4 linked regions of the Saccharomyces cerevisiae S288C genome follow. The protein of the gene in region 2 interacts with the protein of the main gene of each other region in a pairwise test. Each region holds a gene or a part of one and is shown on either strand. Other genes may lie near its edges.

What was found.
Region 1: the proteins of BZZ1 (region 2) and AIM21 interact in binary tests that used the Saccharomyces cerevisiae proteins (3 or more experiments, as listed by UniProt).
Region 3: the proteins of BZZ1 (region 2) and UBP7 interact in binary tests that used the Saccharomyces cerevisiae proteins (3 or more experiments, as listed by UniProt).
Region 4: the proteins of BZZ1 (region 2) and MUK1 interact in a two-hybrid assay, tested with the Saccharomyces cerevisiae proteins (one study listed by BioGRID).

Annotation. Positions count from the first base shown.
Region 1 is NC_001141.2:359,023-363,610, forward strand, and holds AIM21 (Aim21p), read left to right. Parts: upstream 1-1,862; coding exon 1,863-3,902; downstream 3,903-4,588. Other genes in the region: MPH1 (3'-5' DNA helicase), read right to left, coding at 1-1,374; DJP1 (Djp1p), read left to right, coding at 4,199-4,588. UniProt on the Saccharomyces cerevisiae protein: Involved in mitochondrial migration along actin filaments.
Region 2 is NC_001140.6:336,157-340,484, reverse strand, and holds BZZ1 (Bzz1p), read right to left. Parts: upstream 2,403-4,328; coding exon 501-2,402; downstream 1-500. Other genes in the region: ubiquitin-conjugating protein DMA1, read left to right, coding at 1-376; APE4 (aspartyl aminopeptidase), read right to left, coding at 2,676-4,148. UniProt on the Saccharomyces cerevisiae protein: Plays a role in endocytosis and trafficking to the vacuole. Functions with type I myosins to restore polarity of the actin cytoskeleton after NaCl stress.
Region 3 is NC_001141.2:45,965-51,806, reverse strand, and holds UBP7 (ubiquitin-specific protease UBP7), read right to left. Parts: upstream 3,717-5,842; coding exon 501-3,716; downstream 1-500. Other genes in the region: GUT2 (glycerol-3-phosphate dehydrogenase), read left to right, coding at 1-48; ATG44 (mitofissin), read right to left, coding at 3,834-4,046, 4,109-4,117; COA1 (Coa1p), read left to right, coding at 4,265-4,858; AIM20 (Aim20p), read right to left, coding at 4,992-5,606. UniProt on the Saccharomyces cerevisiae protein: Involved in the sorting of ubiquitinated cargo proteins at the multivesicular body (MVB).
Region 4 is NC_001148.4:418,743-423,286, reverse strand, and holds MUK1 (guanine nucleotide exchange factor MUK1), read right to left. Parts: upstream 2,340-4,544; coding exon 501-2,339; downstream 1-500. Other genes in the region: BTS1 (farnesyltranstransferase), read left to right, coding at 1-402; YPL071C (uncharacterized protein), read left to right, coding at 2,769-3,239; putative ubiquitin-specific protease UBP16, read right to left, coding at 3,276-4,544. UniProt on the Saccharomyces cerevisiae protein: Putative GTPase-activating protein.

The sequences.
Region 1 (4,588 bases), on a different chromosome or scaffold from region 2:
TCTTAATTCTGTAAAAATAATAACCCTCGAGTCGGAACCCCTTTTCTGAAAAAAGTCCATTAGTTCATCTCTAACACATTGTAACTTCCCATGACCGACAAACTTTGGATCACTTAAATAATTTTCGCATTGATTTTTGATGTTTTTCAAAATCGGATGGTAATAAAACTCAGCTGCAATTTTATTAGTAGATTTTTTAAGATTATATTTCGTAGTGAATTCTGTACATTTATTCTGGAAGTAATTGAAAAATGTCCTTATTCCATAAATTTTTAATCTCTTTAGCATTTGACCCACATTGTTCAATAACTGTAAAATAAAGAAGTTCCTCCACTTAATTCCTTCAGGTATAGTAGGGTTAGCAATAATTTTTTGGCTTTGTTGCATGGCTTTGAAGGCGTTTATTTGTGAAGGGTCACATTCCTCATATATACCGAGTTCAATTGCCTGTTGAAGCACTGGTTTGACGGCCATACCTAATTGTTCGATTATGTCTTCAATTTCCAACAAAAGGGGCACTTCAATTTTTTCCTTTTTTCTTTTCTTCATATATTTCACGATATCCATGCTTTCTTCAGTCCTAATTTCAATCTTGGAAATATCTAAGTTATTAACCACTTCTTGGACACCTTCCAGGTCAGAGGCTGGTGTAGCGGTCAATGCTAATAATCTGTATGATGAATTGAACCTATCTATGAATTTTACCACATTTGTATACGCAGAGGAGCCAGTAGCTCTGTGAGCTTCATCGATGACAAGACATACAATATCCTTAGGATCCAATACACCCCTCTTCAAGTCATTCTCCACTACTTGCGGTGTGGCAAAGAAAACTCTCTTATTGGCCCAAATTTCTTCTCTATTTTTCCTGCTTTTATCGAGTAATATAGCAGTTTGATCCGAAGGTATTCCTGTTATACCTAAGCATGCCTTAATTTGCTGGGCTACCAAAGGTCTTGTTGGAGCAGTAAAGATTATTTTGGCTTTTTTGGTCCAACGAAAATAATTTAACATTACTGTACTGGCAATGAACGTTTTACCCATACCCGTTGGGATGGCGCATAACGTATTTTGAAACAGTGATTTGTGAACAATTGTATACTGATAATCCCTTACCTCGTAATTTGTAGGGTACACGTAGAACGACAAAGCATCGTAATCAAGCTCATGATGAGTGGGTCCAAAACTGACATCTCTTTGAATTTCTTCGTACACAGTTTTCTGCCCAGGTAAAACGTTATCATGAAGGTCTTTTTGAACTGGTACAGCACGTCTCGTTATAGTTTCCTTCACAGATTTATTGATAGCCTTTTCATACAGTTTATCCAGCTCGTCATCTTCGAAATCACTAAAGTAATCATCTGCACTAGCCATCAGAGAGAAAAAAGGACACTAAAATAAAACAGAACCGGAATGTGTTGAATAAAACTGAAGTGAGCTACTATATCTTGAATCACAATATCTTAGCTCCGTGATAGAGCATAGGGCACCTCTATTGATCTCTTCGTGATGCCCGGTTATATACACACGTAACCCCGTAAAAGCCGTTACCCGGTTTATGTCTTTCTGTGAGCACAGTAAGCTAGGAAGGTCGATGGAGAAGAAGACTCCTGTCTCATATGGAACAACCTTGCAAATTGAGTGCAATTATCCCCTTTGGAGTTTGAATTTTGTGTTAGTACATTCTCCTTTTTTAACTTGTCTTTTCTACCACATGCACAATGAAAGCAATCTTGTTTTACCAGGCGCGAAGCAAAAGAAAAGGAGAAATATTGAGTATATTTTAATTTAAGCTTTCTGATTTAGAAAGTATCATGTTTTGTTGGTGATCTAACAGGAAATCTATTTTGACCGATTATACAATGCCATCGGAAGTTACGCCAAAAGTACCTGAGAGGCCCTCAAGGAGGAAGACATCTGAGCTGTTTCCGTTATCCGGCTCTGAATCAGGAGATATTAAAGCTAATAGCGAGCCACCAACACCAGCAGGAACGCCCAATGTACCAACACGTAGACCCATACTTAAAGCAAAGACGATGACTTCGTTTGAGAGTGGTATGGATCAAGAGAGTTTGCCCAAGGTACCATTGCAGAGGCCAGTTAGACGCTCCACTACTGAAGAACTAAATAATGTAATGAATAACACCAGTAAGGAGTTAGAGGAGATTGAAAGTTTGATTTCAAAGCACAATATACACAATGTTTCCAGGAAAAAAAGTCCAACTTCTGTGGAAGAGGGAAAGGTGGCCGCCATTCATCAAAACGGGCAAAGAAGTGCATCAGATAACAAAACTTCTACAAATCCCTCCCCACTCGAAAAAAATGAGCACGAGGGTGCTGAGGGCAATGAGTCTGCTATTTCACCTTCTAATTTAGTTAACAAGTCTAATAATGAAGTGACAGAGCATAGTGACTCCGAAGACCTTACTGAAAAGCAAAAGGTACATGCTGCCCTAGATAATGAGGCAGGGGATAGAAGCCATTTTGAAGAAAAGCTCATTCCTGGAGATATGAAAGTACAGGTAGATGTTAGTAAGGACGTAGAAGAAGGCAGCCTCAATGCTCTGCCTCCATCTGGAATCACAGAATCAGACGACAAAGCTGAAAAGTTCACTAAACATCCTGAATCTAGTTTAGAAGAGCTACAGAAGCATCAAGAACAACAGGAAGAAAAAATTTTCCAAAATCCAACCGATGAAGAAAGTACTACCTCTTTGAATGAGAAACAAGAAGGCAAGGACAACATGGAAGTGAATTCTCAGCCGCAAGGACCTTCTGATACTGAAACAGTTATAGCAGCAACTAGCTCAAACGTTCCTTCACAAATTGCAAGTGAAGAGGAAAATGACGTTCCAGTGATTCCAAGGAGTAGGCCTAAGAAGGATTTTGAAGCACACGTACAAAAAGAGGAGTTGCCTAACACACAAGAGAAGCGAGTATCAGAAGAGTGTGATTCGACCCTAATTAGTACCGAAGAGGAAAGTAAAATCCCAAAAATTCCCTCTGAAAGACCAAAGAGACGTGCCCCACCTCCGGTTCCCAAAAAACCTTCTTCAAGAATTGCGGCCTTTCAAGAAATGTTACAAAAACAACAGCAACAAGATCTGCATAATAATGGTAATTCTTCAGCTACTACCGCTTCAGCAGATATTGCTAAAAAACACACAGATTCTTCTATTACTAGCGATACCACGAAGGCAGATTTTACGAGCAAATTGAATGGACTGTTTGCGCTACCTGGTATGGTGAACCCTGGACAGCTTCCACCTTCCTTGGAGAAGAAGTTGTCCTCCCCGGATACTGAATCTAAGCTAGGACCCCAGGACCAATCACAGGCAAAAACGGGACCTCTGGGCGGAACTAGAAGAGGTAGAGGACCTCGTGGGCGTAAATTACCTTCTAAAGTAGCTAGCGTAGAGAAGATTGAAGAAGATGACAACACTAATAAAATAGAAATATTTAACAATTGGAATGTTTCCTCTTCCTTCTCTAAGGAAAAAGTCTTAATAGATACTACTCCTGGTGAGCAAGCAGAAAGGGCCTTGGATGAAAAGTCAAAGAGCATTCCCGAGGAACAACGAGAACAATCTCCAAATAAGATGGAGGCTGCTCTTTGTCCTTTTGAGCTGGACGAAAAGGAAAAGTTACCTGCTAATGCTGAGTCGGATCCTCTTTCTCAGTTGCCACAGACGAACGCCGTAGGTAATAGAAAAGCCATAAGTGAGGAATCTCTGTCCCCATCGGAGGCCATCGCCAACAGAGATCAAAACGATACGACAGAAATACAGGAACAGCAGATGGAGGACCAAATGGAGGTTGATATGGAAAGAGAACTCTCAGGTGGCTACGAAGACGTTGATTCTGCCTTACATTCAGAAGAAGCGTCTTTTCACTCCCTTTAGAATCTTATAAATAATATGTATGAATAAACTCTATAGTATGTATCAAGAGAGAAATATGTGAATGACGAGCAAACTAGAGGTGTTATTAATAATAATGGCATAAAAACTAGATTTTATTCTATATATATATATATATATTTCTTCGACTTTTTTTTTTTTTACCCGCACACCCTGAATTTTGTGCTATTTTGAAGCAGAGCGTACTGAACAAATTGGCAGATTTACAAGAGGAATAACAGAGTTATGCTAAATCATTAAGTGTTTCTTGCGGCCAGAAGGGGCATTATACAAAAGATATGGTTGTTGATACTGAGTATTACGATTTGTTAGGTGTGTCTACCACTGCATCTTCCATTGAAATAAAAAAGGCCTATAGAAAGAAATCTATTCAAGAGCATCCTGATAAGAATCCCAATGACCCCACGGCTACCGAAAGGTTTCAAGCAATATCCGAAGCTTATCAAGTTTTAGGTGACGATGATCTTCGCGCAAAGTATGATAAGTATGGAAGAAAAGAAGCTATTCCTCAGGGCGGCTTTGAAGATGCAGCTGAACAGTTCTCTGTCATCTTTGGTGGAGATGCGTTTGCCTCATATATTGGCGAACTGATGCTATTAAAGAACCTACAGAAAACTGAGGAGCTAAATGCTGAAGACGAAGCTGAAAAGGAGAAGGAGAATGTGGAA
Region 2 (4,328 bases):
ATTGAACAAGTCTTGGAAATTAAAGGCCAATGCATTTAATAAAGAAGCCTTGAGCCGAATAAAAAATCTACAGAAACTAACTACTGGTTTAGAACAAGAAGACTGTTCCATTTGTCTAAACAAAATAAAACCTTGCCAAGCCATTTTTATATCACCATGTGCCCATAGTTGGCATTTTCATTGTGTAAGAAGATTGGTTATTATGAATTATCCTCAATTCATGTGTCCGAACTGTAGGACAAACTGTGATTTGGAGACTACCTTGGAATCCGAATCTGAATCCGAATTCGAAAACGAGGACGAAGATGAGCCAGACATTGAAATGGATATAGACATGGAAATAAATAACAATTTAGGTGTTCGCCTAGTAGATTGATCACATGAAATTTTGTGCTATATATATATATATATATATATATATATATAACATAGAGTCGTCATACCTCTCAAAAAAGTGGCGGCCAGGGAAAATATTTAATAGTTTCAGTTCATTCCTTCGTTCATTTACAGTAACTTGTAGGAAATAGACCTTTCAATCCGTCACATTCACCATATGTCCACCCGCTACCGTCATCGCCTCTGATAACAGTAATTATGTCCCCCGGATCAATTGAAATCTCATCATCTCCCTGTGCTTCGTAGGCATATATGGCCTCCATCGTCCTAACAGGTAGTGTACTCCTTCTTGGTGGTGGTACTTCTGGTGCAGGGCCTCTATCATTTGCTTTAACTGTAGCCGCGCTAGATATGCGAATATATGTGGTGGGTACAAGGCCGGTTTCCCCAGTGGTGTCGTTATTTATCTTAGTCCATCCAGAACCCGTATCGCGTGCAACCAAAGAGATTTTGTCTCCTGGCGTAATGGTGATTTCGTCATCATCCTTTTGTACGTATGCATACAACACTTTATTCTTGCCGTCATCACTGGAATTTTGTGTGGTCTTTTTTGTATTGTTGGTACTAGTGGTGCGTATAGAATTATTATCTGAATCTTCACCAGCGTTGTTAGGGGCAGAGCCTAGCCTAGTTCTTCTTGATGTGTTGAAGAGACTTGTTATATGCAAGGGTCCTCCGTTGCCATTACCAGTGCTCCCTCCACTCGAAGGCTTCGAGTCGACGTTCAGGATGTTGTGTTTGAACTTACTGAATATCCCGGATTTCTTCTTTGTTTTGGAAAGATCAATATTGTCTGTGGATAAATCGTATTCTTCAGGAACATTATTCTGAATACTTTCGATTTGAACTTCGGCTTGCAATTTTAATGTTTCGTGTGAGGTAAAGGGTGAAACGACATTTAAGTATTCCTTTAGTGTATCATAAAACTTAGTGGCATTGATATTATCTTCATTAGTTTTCATTTCGTGCTTTATCTTGTTCAAAGTAGACAGTTTGGATAACTCATTTTGAGTTTTATCTTGCAATGAATTGTAATCATTTTCTGCTTTTGCCAGTTTTATTCTCAAGTCTTCAACTTCCAACGACGAGGGAACAGCAAATTTTTCATCATCATGCCATACTGGAGATGGCTTATAGACAAAGTCTTGTGGTTCTTTCCAATTCTTTAGATTGTGCTTGATAAAGATGGCCGTGTTTAAAGAGGGTTTATTCTGCTTGACAACAGAATTTGCCGCCTGGAGTCTTTTGCTGACATTTGCACCCAGATCGTTCTCGACAGAAGCCGCCTTCAACCACAGATCATTTAAGAAAAGGGTCTTTGCCTCATTTACGTCTTGTAGAAGATCTAGCACTTCAGGAACATCTTGAAAATAGTATTTATCCTTAGTTCTATTTGCCTGGTTGATCTTGATTAAATATTCATTTTTACACTTGTTCATCTCCATTTCTTTTTCATCCAACTTCTTTTTATTTCTATCATTAGATGCCTTGGTATACCTATTTCTTGCCATTTCCATAGTGGAACAGGCTTCATCATAGTCCTTCTTCGCTTTTTCCAGTTCGTGGTAAATGTTATCCTTTTTATTAACCATGTCATTGTTAAATCCATTTATCTTGCTCAAAGTCATATCAAGTTTAGTGAATAATCCACTCAATTGATTTGCTACATGATTTTCAAAGTCGGTTGATAACTGATCATGATCCTTGGAAATCATATCAGTCTGAGATAGAATTTCATTCCATGCAACCACACCTGCAGCTTCAATGGACCCTGGCGTGGTAGTAGGTGTGTCACCTACCGAGATAGGAACTGAGGTCGAAGACTTCTTATTAAAGTACTCTGCTGATAAGCGAGATAATCTCTCGCTGTAGTCTTTTTCTAACTTAGCCCTTTCCCGATAAAATTGCTCAATGTCCTTCAACCATTTTAAGTTATTTTGGACCCATTTATGGGTTTCCTTAAATGAATCTTTAATTTCATTACCAATCGATAAATCTGCACTCATTTTTATTGCAAGTAATGTAGTAGTTGGCGTTTAAGGATAGATTTCCGCTCATACAAAATTGATCAATCTGCTACCTTCTTCAAAAACTATTTGCGTACAAACTAAATCTGTCTATTCCTTTGCTAAGCGTATATTCTTTTAAAAACTTTTTATTTTTCTGAAGACCCCGCGAAAGCTTATGTAGATCACAAGATATTATATATATTTACTATTTGTAAAATACAAAAGAGGGCAATAAATATACCGGATTATGAATCATCTAACAATTGCAGTTTAGACAACAATTTCAGATTCTATGGAAGTGTAGCGTTCAAAAAATTCCTTAAATAACTTGATTTGGAACTCCAGGTCTGCAGAGCCACCGGTCTCTCTAATCGAATGCATACTCAACACAGGATTACCCAAGTCTAGAGTTCTAATACCTGTCTTTGAGGCCAAAATGGGGCCGATGGTAGAACCGCATGGTGAGTCGTTAGCTACGACAAACAATTGCAAAGGGACTTTAGCAGCCTCTGCTAGTCTTTTCACCAAGACCAACCCTGGTGAATTGGTCATGTAACGTTGATTCGCGTTAATCTTGATTACGGGACCACCACCCAATAAGGGTTTGTGTTGGCTTTCGTATTTGTTTGCATAGTTTGGATGAACTGCATGAGCAACATCAGATGAAAGGAAAAACGACTTAGCGGAAGTTTCCAATATTGCCGAGTGAAACAAAGGTTTAGTTTGATCAGAACCGTCCCCCTTCAGGATGGACAACCTTTCCAATATATTAGGCAAGAAGTTAGAATCTGCCCCTTGGGCGGAGGATGAGCCAATCTCCTCATGATCAAAGCATGCCATCAATCTAATGCCTGATTCTCGGTCAATTTCTGTGTCAGCCGCCAACGTTAAACCGTGCATTGATGTGAAACAAGATGTCAAATTATCCAATCGACCAGAGAAGACAAACTCATCGTTGAACCCACCTAGAGTGGATGCATTATGATCATAAAGGATCAATTCGAAGTCTTCAATGTCTTCAATTGTATCAATGGCGAGTTCTTTGGCTATTAGCCCCAAAAGTTCTGCGTGATGCCTCTGTACTATCGTTTTTATGGAGGTAAACTCACCGTTATTAATTTCCTTTTCAGTTTTCGCTTCAGTTTTGTCTTCTTGCAGACCACCAATCGGCAACAGTTGAGTTTCTCTATTAAACTCGAATTTTTGATTTACGTCTCTGTCCAGATGAATAGCCAAAGTAGGAATCTTTAACAGAGGTCTATTCAAATCCACCAATCTAGCAATGGATTTGCCAGTTTTCGCATCCTTTACGAAAACTCTTCCGGCAACGCCCAAATCCTTATCAAACCATGAATGCCAAATAGCGCCACCATAAGTTTCCACGCCCACTTGTAAATACTTCTCACTGACTCTTTTAGAAATAGGCTTAATCCTTAATGCGGGGGAGTCGGTGTGAGCACCCGTAATGGCAATTGGATTACCAGGCTCCCACTTTCCACCAACAGCAAACGCAATAATGGAAGAGCCATTTCTTGTCACAAAGTACTTTCCTTTTTGTGCGACGTGGCCAGCCCACGAGTCACGTTCGCTCAACTCTTTGAAGCCATTTGACACCAGATGCTTTTTGATGTTATGAACTGTATGGTAAGGAGAGTGTGAGCTATTTAAGAAACTGACAAACTCCTTTGGGTAATCACTCTTGCATGTTTTGCTGGACATAGTTCTCAGTTGTATCCTGAACATAGAAAAGCTGAACCTTTTATTCTTTCTTTTTACCTACTTGCTCACATAACATGAATTTTTTCTTTCATTCATACAGGAGGAAAACGCCCTTTTTTCTTTCATTTAAGAGCGTGGAGATATCTGCAACTTTTCAGCAAGTATGATAAGGCTAAAATGATAAGGAATAGAAAACCGTAGCCA
Region 3 (5,842 bases), on a different chromosome or scaffold from region 2:
TGGGAACTTGAAAAAACTGTGAACTTCATCAAGACGTTTGGTGTCTAAATCGATCATGATAGTTAAGGGTGACAAAGATAACATTCACAAGAGTAATAATAATGGTAATGATGATAATAATAATAATGATAGTAATAACAATAATAATAATGGTGGTAATGGCAATGAAATCGCTATTATTACCTATTTTCCTTAATGGAAGAGTTAAAGTAAACTAAAAAAACTACAAAAATATATGAAGAAAAAAAAAAAAAGAGGTAATAGACTCTACTACTACAATTGATCTTCAAATTATGACCTTCCTAGTGTTTATATTCTATTTCCAATACATAATATAATCTATATAATCATTGTGTAGACTTCCGTTTTAATATCGTTTTAATTATCCCCTTTATCTCTAGTTTTATCATAAAATATAGAAACACTAAATAATATTCTTCAACGTCCTGGTGCATACGCAATACATATTTATGGTGCAAAAAAAAAAATGCAAAATTTTGCTAGTCATAAACCCTTTCATAAAACAATACGTAGACATCGCTACTTGAAATTTTCAAGTTTTTATCAGATCCATGTTTCCTATCTGCCTTGACAACCTCATCGTCGAAATAGTACCATTTAGAACGCCCAATATTCACATTGTGTTCAAGGTCTTTATTCACCAGTGACGTGTAATGGCCACTGATTAATGTGCCTGTATGGTTAACCACTCCAAATAGCTTATATTTCATAGTGTCATTGTTTTTCAATATAATGTTTAGTATCAATGGATATGTTACGACGGTGTTATTTTTCTTGGTCAAATCGTAATAAAATCTCGATAAATGGATGACTAAGATTTTTGGTAAAGTTACAAAATTTATCGTTTTCACTGTTGTCAATTTTTTGTTCTTGTAATCACTCGAGTTGTTACTATCATTACCACCAGTACTGAACGGTGTACTGGAACTGGACCTCTTCCCACTACCACCCAACATCCTGAAGGGTGATCTGGACCTTTCTCGTTCAAAGATTGTCGTATTATTATTATTGCTATTATGGCCCTCAGTAATACCGTCTCCAAAAAAGTCGAGATGACGACGCTTGGTTCCTGTATGTAATGTAAAAAACCGACTTTTTTTCTTTTTACTCTTAACAATGGATGGCTCATTCTCTAATGCAGACACAGATGTAGACACAGACGCCGTGGGGCCACAGCGTGGGCAATCCCATGCATTTTCACCAGAGAGTACCTCATCGCTTGTAAACATATTAATACAATCCTCTAACTTAACTCTTTTCTCAGTAGACCTACCAAGTTTACTCAACTTCATGGAACGTCTTGGTATAGCCAGTGATAAAACATAAAATGTGCTATAGTTGAAAGTAGTGTAACCGCACCTTTTACATTGTAAGCTGTTCTCCATTTGCCCTTGAAAAATGTCATCAATAGGAGATATACCATTACCAATGACATTTTTGTCAAACCAGTGCTTATATTCGTTGTTTGAAACCTTTAGGGCATCTGCATTATACAATAATAAATTCGGATAATCGTTCGCTACATGCTGTTGGTCGGAAAGTTCATCGTGTAACCTGTCTAAAAGTATCATTAGGAACTCTTGGGTATCCTGTTGGTCATCAGGAATTTTCAAATCGGGACGCAATTGATTGATAACTTTGAGAAATCCTGTTGGGACAACTGAGCAACCACCATTTAGATACATCTTGTTGAAGAGCATACTTAGTGAATTCGAAAGTTTAGGAGAATAATGAGATCCGTTGCTCCTTATTGGTTGCAGATAGCTCTTATATTTGGATGAAATGAAGAGTGTCCGGAATGTTTTCGCAGCGAATAGACATTGTATCATACTATTAATGTAACATGTATTGCCCAAATTTCTTAGTCCCGTGATGGACAACGAAACGTATACGTTTGGACTGCGTTCAATAGTTGGAATATTGTACGCCCTTTGCGGTTGTAATATTTGTTGGTCGTAATGCTGATGCTGGTGCTGTCTTTTTCTTTGAATAATTTCATTGGAGTTAAGTTGTTCCTTTTTGACATGCTGCTTTGCTGGTATTGGCGGCTTTCGAGAGATAGAACTGACTTGTGAATGAACCATTATCTTAGGGGGCAGAGGAGGTGGAATTTCTGGGGTTGTGGGCATTGATACAGGCGGTGGAGGTGGAGGACGTTTCCTTAACCTTATAGGCAGGTCAGGGGGCTTCCAGGAGGGAGGCTCAGGAACTTTTGTAGATGATTCCTTAGCGGAAAAAGAGTCCTGAGAATCCGGCTGCTGCTGCTGCTGCTGCTGCTCCTGTTGTAAGCGCGCCTTCTGTGAGTAAGGTCTGTACAAGTAATCTTCAATAGAGATATGATACTCCTGGGCATACGAATGCAGAGTTTTCTTCCATTTTTCGTACCCACCTAAGAGGGTAGTAGGTACAGTTGTTAAAGGAGTCTTCTGAGAAGTCAGCATCAAATAAAAAAAAATAAATGCATAATCAAAATTTATAGTCATGAAGGTCTTCACATCAGTATAGTAAACAATGTAATCAAATTTATTACGGTTTATAAAATTCTCATTCTCCTTCAGTAAATGTTCCAATATGTCATCCTTGTAGATAGGTGTGTTCGTCTGCTTGTCCCACAACAAGTTTGGATCCACATTCACTAAGTTCGGAGCCACAATGTGATTTATTGCAGATCTTTGTGGTATTCTCAAGTCGATGAGTAAAACCTTTTCACGTTCAACGCGATTCGATAAAATACTAAACAATTCTGGTGCTGTGATTATACTCTGCTTTTGTAAAATATCCAAACTCTGGATGAAGCCATCATTCTCAACGTTGAACAGATCATCATTGTCTTCCTTGAGGTTGCCGCTATCCACCATATAAACAGAATGGTAAGAATCCTTTCGATGAGTTACTGATCTATCTGCGGTTATTTCTCGAAATGGTGGGTTCAAAGATGCGAAACTAGTGTCATCCTCGTGGTATATGGAGGGTACATCTTCCAATAAAACAGATGGTCTCACTGGAACACTTGTCTTTCTTTCAGGCTCACGAAAAGCTGGCGTTGGTATCACTTCGGGCAATAAAGCCAGTTTCAATTGGTCGTTGGGCTCTAAGTTTGGTGCTGTCCAAACAGGTGAAGATTGTTCTGCGTCGTCTTCAGTAAACGTGCCTTTGAGGCCATGATCTTGCGGTGCCGCGGTGTCAAGTGATAGTGAAGCTACCTGACCTGAAAGATCGTCAGCTGGAACTGAAAATGCCCTCTTCTTGGTGATTCTGTGCTCAATACCGGCCCCGTGTTTAACCGATTCATCTAGGACCACACCGATTTCTTTCTTCACCATAAGCACAACATTGGTCATGTTCATTTCATTCTCATACATCTTTTTTAGATCTGTATAGATGCTGTAGGACTTGTTTCGTGTTTGGAACTGCAAAGATTGTGGAATAATTAAGAACACGTAGTAGCATCCAATGATAAACGCTGTCAGTGCATCGTTGGGCCTATCGTGATGGATTGAATCTAGATATAACTCGAATAGGTACTCTGTATGCTCCAGAAGGTCCAGCAGCTTCTCCAGTTTTAGCTGCGGATAGTAGTGCTTGATATCTTCGTGGTACAGGTCCTGGACCCTTCGCAGTAATTCATTTGAGTACTCAGGCGTGAACGGCGTTATATGTGGATGCATGGCCGTGCCCTTATCATCGTCTAGCATTTAAAGTTCTATGCGTAATCGATAGCGATAGCTCTTTAAGTTGCGGTTATTAATTTTGGCCCCCGGCTGGGTGCCGTTATACAAAATATTATCAACATATATAGAATATAAACGTACCTATTTCCTAGCGAAATACGTCGAGGAGCCACAAGTGGCAACAGAATAGTCGTATACAGACTCTCCCAAGTTCAAGTACCGCTTCATGTAGTTTCTCATAGTCTGATTGTCCAGAGTCTCCAGTTTAGGCGTCAAACCTGTATTGCGTTTAATCCCCGCGAGGCACGTTGATACCAAGACCAAATCTATGGATATGTGTACTAGTTTCCCTACCTAACCAATTTCTCTTGTTAGTATTACCGGATGCGTTGTTAGTAGCTCATTTGGGTACTTACTAATGTCATCTCTTTGCGTTTTGCTTGTTCTTGTTTTGATCATTGTGGAGAGAAAGAAAGCGCCTTCTTGTCATTTTAATCCCAGTTTTAAAACAGTTCGATCTTTCTCTCCGTACCAGTCCACGACATAAAAGTAAAAGATAAAACAGACTATACATGATGTTAAGACTAGTAACTAAAGGGTTGCCGAAAGTGACACCTTCTGCAGCTAAGGCTGTGCTAGTGCGTGGTTCCTTGCTGCACTCATTCTCTACCAGCGCTAGATTCAATAATAGTGTCGCTGAAGATGAGGCCAAGATCGTTTTGAAAGACAAGAACAGGCCATTGAGAATTGACAGAGAATTGCCTGACCCAACCACGGAGAGGAGAAAGCGAATAGCTGGATTTTTGTTGTTTTCTGTGGCCATTGGGTCCGCACTATCTTTGATCTTCAACTATGAAAAGACGGAGTCCCCCATTATCTCCAACACGCTGTATTATATAAGACGGTCTCCAGCAACTAAAAACATACTGGGTGAGAGCATAGAATTTGATGGTATCATCCCTTGGGTCTACGGTGAACTGAACTCTGTGAAGGGTAGGATTAACATTACGTTTTATATCAAGGGGGACAAAAACGTTACTGGAACCGTTAGACTGGTTGCCGATAGGAACACTCACGACGAAGAGTTTTTGATTCATGAATGGAGCGTCACTGCCGCTGGCCAAAAGATCGATTTGCTAGCTGAAAATACCAAGACACCAATTTAATAGCAAGTATGGTGCTATTTGTCTGTAAATATCCTTTATTATTATTTTATTTTTATCGTTATTACAAGTGGTCTGGGTATCTATACAAATGCAAAACTATGTAGGTACGTTTATATATCTATATGCATATATATTAGTGTGGCCGTAAGCTGTCAATAAATTCTCTCTTGTTGACAGTATAATTCGTAAAATCGTTTTCATATGGGTCATCCAGTTTTATTTCTTCGTGTAACGCAGTATTTTCTGTGCTCGATGACAAGTTTGACGTAGAAGCTGATCTCAAACTACTCGTTTCTTTGCGCGATAGCGTCAGTGGATACATAAAACTATAGGAAGGATCTCTGACCATCCCATAATTCACCTTTTCGCCGCTGAAAATGACGGGGACATTGGTATATGCAGTGCTCTGCTTTTTTGGACGCAAAGTCCCCATACTAGCGTTCAATTGCCTTCTGTATGCTGGTGTGTACCCTGCCTTGGCGGTTTTTTCTTGGCAGGGTTTAAGATCCTGGTTTGCTTCCTTTTCGTTTATCGTGGAAGCTTCACTTGAGCTGTTAATTTCGGCTTTAAAACCATCATATACCGACACTGCCACTTCTTCCATTACCATCTTCTCCAAATCAGCATCTCTAATCTCTTCTTTTTTGTAACGTCGTTGTAATTTACACCAAAATATCAGGGCTATTATTACGCCCACAGCAATTGGAATCCCAACTGCCGTTCCCACTGCCACAGACACATTGCCCATCTTTATTCAATAGTCTGTTTTGATGATTGAAAAGTAGATTGTTTTGAGCTAAAAATTCGATGCTTTCTGTGCTTATTTTGAAATTTATTAATGAATCTGTCCATCTCCAAATCTTAGTTCTTAACTAGGAAATTTGTCAACACGACCACCGCCCGAAAAGGGAAAATATTTCCCTTTTGAGAAGCGATTGCGAATATTGTCCATTTCTTTATATAAGCTCCACAACTACATAAAAT
Region 4 (4,544 bases), on a different chromosome or scaffold from region 2:
ATTATTTATCAGATTAGAGATGATTACTTGAATTTGAAAGATTTCCAAATGTCCAGCGAAAAAGGCTTTGCTGAGGACATTACAGAGGGGAAGTTATCTTTTCCCATCGTCCACGCCCTTAACTTCACTAAAACGAAAGGTCAAACTGAGCAACACAATGAAATTCTAAGAATTCTCCTGTTGAGGACAAGTGATAAAGATATAAAACTAAAGCTGATTCAAATACTGGAATTCGACACCAATTCATTGGCCTACACCAAAAATTTTATTAATCAATTAGTGAATATGATAAAAAATGATAATGAAAATAAGTATTTACCTGATTTGGCTTCGCATTCCGACACCGCCACCAATTTACATGACGAATTGTTATATATAATAGACCACTTATCCGAATTGTGAAATAAATTGATCAATCAAATTAGTGGAGGAAGATAGTCAGAAATAAAGCCTTCTCTCCTCCTCTTTCGCATCTATACATACGATTTCATATATACGTTTCATTGCATCATCTTTTGATATATCTCAAAAAGATCTCTTAGTTCGCAAATAGTCAAATCTTCAAATTTATAGCCTTTATATTTTTTCCACGATTTCTGAAACTCCTTTTTATCAGCACCGTTAATGCTAGCGGTTACTGTCAAATCGCCGGTAAATTCGCGATTTCCGTGCTCTAAAGATGCTGAAGATCGTGAAGATGATGAAGTTGATCGTGAGCCATCCCTAGACATCTCTGTTGTATCTCTATTGCTCAATTCCATGGATAATTGAGACGAACTTCGTGGTATGTTTAAGTTGTTGCTACTGTGAAGGTTATTATTGCTAGTATTGTTAGGATGTGGTGGAGTATATGACCTAATTTTTCCGATGATATTTTTTAATGATGAATCAAAAACGGTCCTGAAGCCATCATACGAATTCGATCTTGTAACATCTGGCCTTTGGATAGTAGGAGTCACGATGTCACCTAGGTTACTGCCGTTATTACCGTTGTTTTTATGCATTATAGCAGTTTTTGATGGCAATGAGACTCTACTGCTGATTGAATTTTCTAAAATTTTACTTTCATTTACAGTCAATTTATCTTGTAGCTCATTTGAAAAATCATTTTTGGTTAAGCCTTCAACAAAAACTAATGCAGCTTCTAGATTGGTTAATGCAAAGGATTCTGTTTCGACCAGCTTTTTCTTATATCTGAACAGCCTGATGAATTCGGCATTCAAGAAAATATCCCGTGGAACAATCGTAATAATGTAGTAGATTAGCAACGAAAGATAATCATCATTAGACATTTCTTGGGAATATGTCATGATTTCATGTAGTTTCAGTAGGGCCTTTATCTTTTCACATGGTGAAATCGAATGATAAGTAAACTCATATAAAATATCTTTGATCTCTTCAAACTTTGGTTCCGGATCAATGCCATTATTAAGACTCAGAAACTTTATCAAATTGATTTTATTCATTGTTGAGAGTTTGGACAAACAGAGGATTTTTTCATTCAACAACTTATTGTATTCTGTGAATTCAACACTGTTTCTAAATAGATTTCCAACCTTGAAAGTTTGTAATTGGTGTGGTTTGAAGGTTTTCATTTTATTCGGTGAAGATACGGATGTGCCTACTATAAGAATTTTCTTAAAAACATCTCTTTCACAAAGTTCCATATATTTTTCGATTTTCATGTTGTTTAATTCGTTGATTTTCAATTGCTTTTTTATCTCTTCAGGTGACAACATTTGTGTGGCATTAGTTGAATTTGATATTGACTCATTACTGAAAAGCGATGAAGATCTTCTTGGCCTCATAAGTGAATTTCCACTACTACTCCTACTTCTGCCAAAAATTCCGCTAAGACCACTACTTAACGTTTCTTTGGCAGCCAAGAATGAACTAGAGCCCCCGCCAGAAAAATAATAGCCATTATTATTCGCTGAACTGACGTGCTGGAATGATGCTTTATCAAATTTTATGTAAAAGCTTTGGAAAAGACTAGACAATTGCAGTACTGATAGTGGCCGTACGTACTTTGGCTGCTTTAGGTCATCAATAAAAATGTCAATTAATTTTGATAATTCTGGAGGTAAATTGGTGACAGTGTTCAACGCTTCGTCAATTTCTTGTTTTGTCAATATAGGAGACTTATTGTTTTCTAGCCTTTCTCCTGTTGTAGAGTTTTCATCACCATCACAGCTACTTCTCTCATTGTCATTTTGATCCTCATGTAGATTTTGTTGAAATTGCATGCCGCCAGTTGTGTTCTTGTATGATTCCCTGATGGATTGATTAGGGTCAAACCTTGGATTGGTTATCGGAGGAGTGAATAATTGTCTAGCCATTTGACTTTTATTGTTAGAGGGCGTACTTCTTTTTTATCTGCTCTTCTTCTTGGCTTCTAAAAATACCTTTTGCTCTAAGGGGAATGATGATTTTATGAGTGTCTATAAAGCCAATTCTCTTTCTGCCCAAGATATTAAACACCACACCAATCCGAACAAAATTCAATAGACGAACAACAGTAAGTTTTAATCTATTTTTGCTTCAATGATGCGTTTGGTTGGGTCTTTACTGGAAATCAAATAAGGCTCGGTTATTTGCACACTTTTTTATCCGGGAACCGCTCTTTTACGAAAGCAAATTTCAAAATGTATGTAATACGAAGGCATTAAATTATTCAACAACGGCGCTCGGATATGATTTATATTACACGTCTAGAACGATTAGCAGATAGTAAAACTAGTGGCACGTTTAAATGACTTTTTCATTCCATGAGTTCCCGGTTTGCAAGAAGTAATGGCAATCCCAACCACATTAGGAAAAGAAATCATTCTCCAGACCCAATAGGAATTGATAATTATAAAAGAAAAAGACTAATTATAGATTTAGAGAATTTATCCTTAAATGATAAAGGGCCCAAGAACGGACATGCAGATGATAACAATCTTATTCATAACAATATAGTATTCACAGACGCTATTGATGATAAGGTCCTGAAAGAGATCATCAAGTGTTCCACAAGTAAACGCGGCGACAATGACTTGTTTTATGACAAAATATGGGAACGTTTGAGAGAAAAAAGGCTACAAATAATAAAATGGGTAGATTATAAGGAAATTGCTTATCTAAGCTGGTGGAAGTGGTTCCATAATCAAATGACTTCGAAATACACTTATGATGGAGAGGCTGATACCGATGTTGAAATGATGGCAGTGGATACTGATGTGGATATGGATGCGTAACTTACTATTATTATAATATACCTATGTACAGGGCGGTTATTTATTTACACGTTCGTAGTATAGCATATAAGCATATTTCTGTTCATTCAAGACAGTTGAAGCGGTAGATTCCTTTATGGCGGTATCAGATATTTGCCAATAAGGATACCGCAGGGCGTTTTTGACTTTTTTATATCTGCTTTTTTTGTAATCATTATGTGCAACGTTTTGCTCGCGATTCTTGTTAACTTCATTGTTGACAACTGGTGCTCTTCTGAAGGAAGATTCATCCTCCTTCCCGAAACGAATTTCAGTCTTGCGTCTGTAACACATATAGTGTCCACTCGAATGAGAACCGGTGTGTTTCACAACACTTTTCAAATTATATTTGACTTGCCTGTTTTCTGTTATTGTCCCACTCTCAGCCAATGTATATTCAGAAAGTGTTATTCTTTCTCCAAATTTGACATTGCAGGGATTTCTAGAATATGTAATACCATTGAATGTGGATCTCGATAAGTGAACAATTAATATGTCTGGCAGTTGTACTACTACATCTTTTTTGATGACCTTTCCCTTTATATTAGATACCTGCAAATTGCCCTTTGAGTAACGCTTGACGTACTGTTCTACTTCGAATGGTAAATTTTCGTTAATTGGGGCTTTAGTGGCATAATTTTTCAATCTGTCCAACATTAAAATTTCATCCGGGGTACAGTCCTTGAAATTTCTATATTCTTCATGGTTTAAGATTGCTCTTATTTGGCAGATCAGGCATGAATAGTCGTCTATGATTTCTGTTTCATCGTGTGCTAGAATATTGGATAGATTCTCTGATGTTTGTTGTGGTACGGACAGTTCGCGGATGAAAGTCTGTTTGTATGATGGTTCTGATAGACCCTTGCATTTAAGGCATACTAGAAACTTGGAAGTCTCGCCCTCAAATGGAAACTTTGGTATATTCAAATTACATATCTGTTTACTGTAATCGATCAATTTTGATCGTTCTTCCTGTAATGTTTGTAGTAATATTAATGTAAATTCATGTGCATCATTTTGTTTGGATGAGATCTTTGATTTAAAGATGGACTCTAATGTGTTTATCACTATTTTCGGAGAAATTGACGTCTTACGATCTTTTACAGATATCAAATCCAAAATTAAACTGGTAAGACTTTCGTGTAAGGGGGCAAGTGAATTAGACGAGTTTTCAAGTCGACTATGCCTTGTAGTGTTATCAACTGTAGGATTGTCGCCTTTTGCATTATTTGACAGCTTAGTTTCTAATTCTAGAAGGACCGTTCTTATCCGTTTCAAATATTCTAC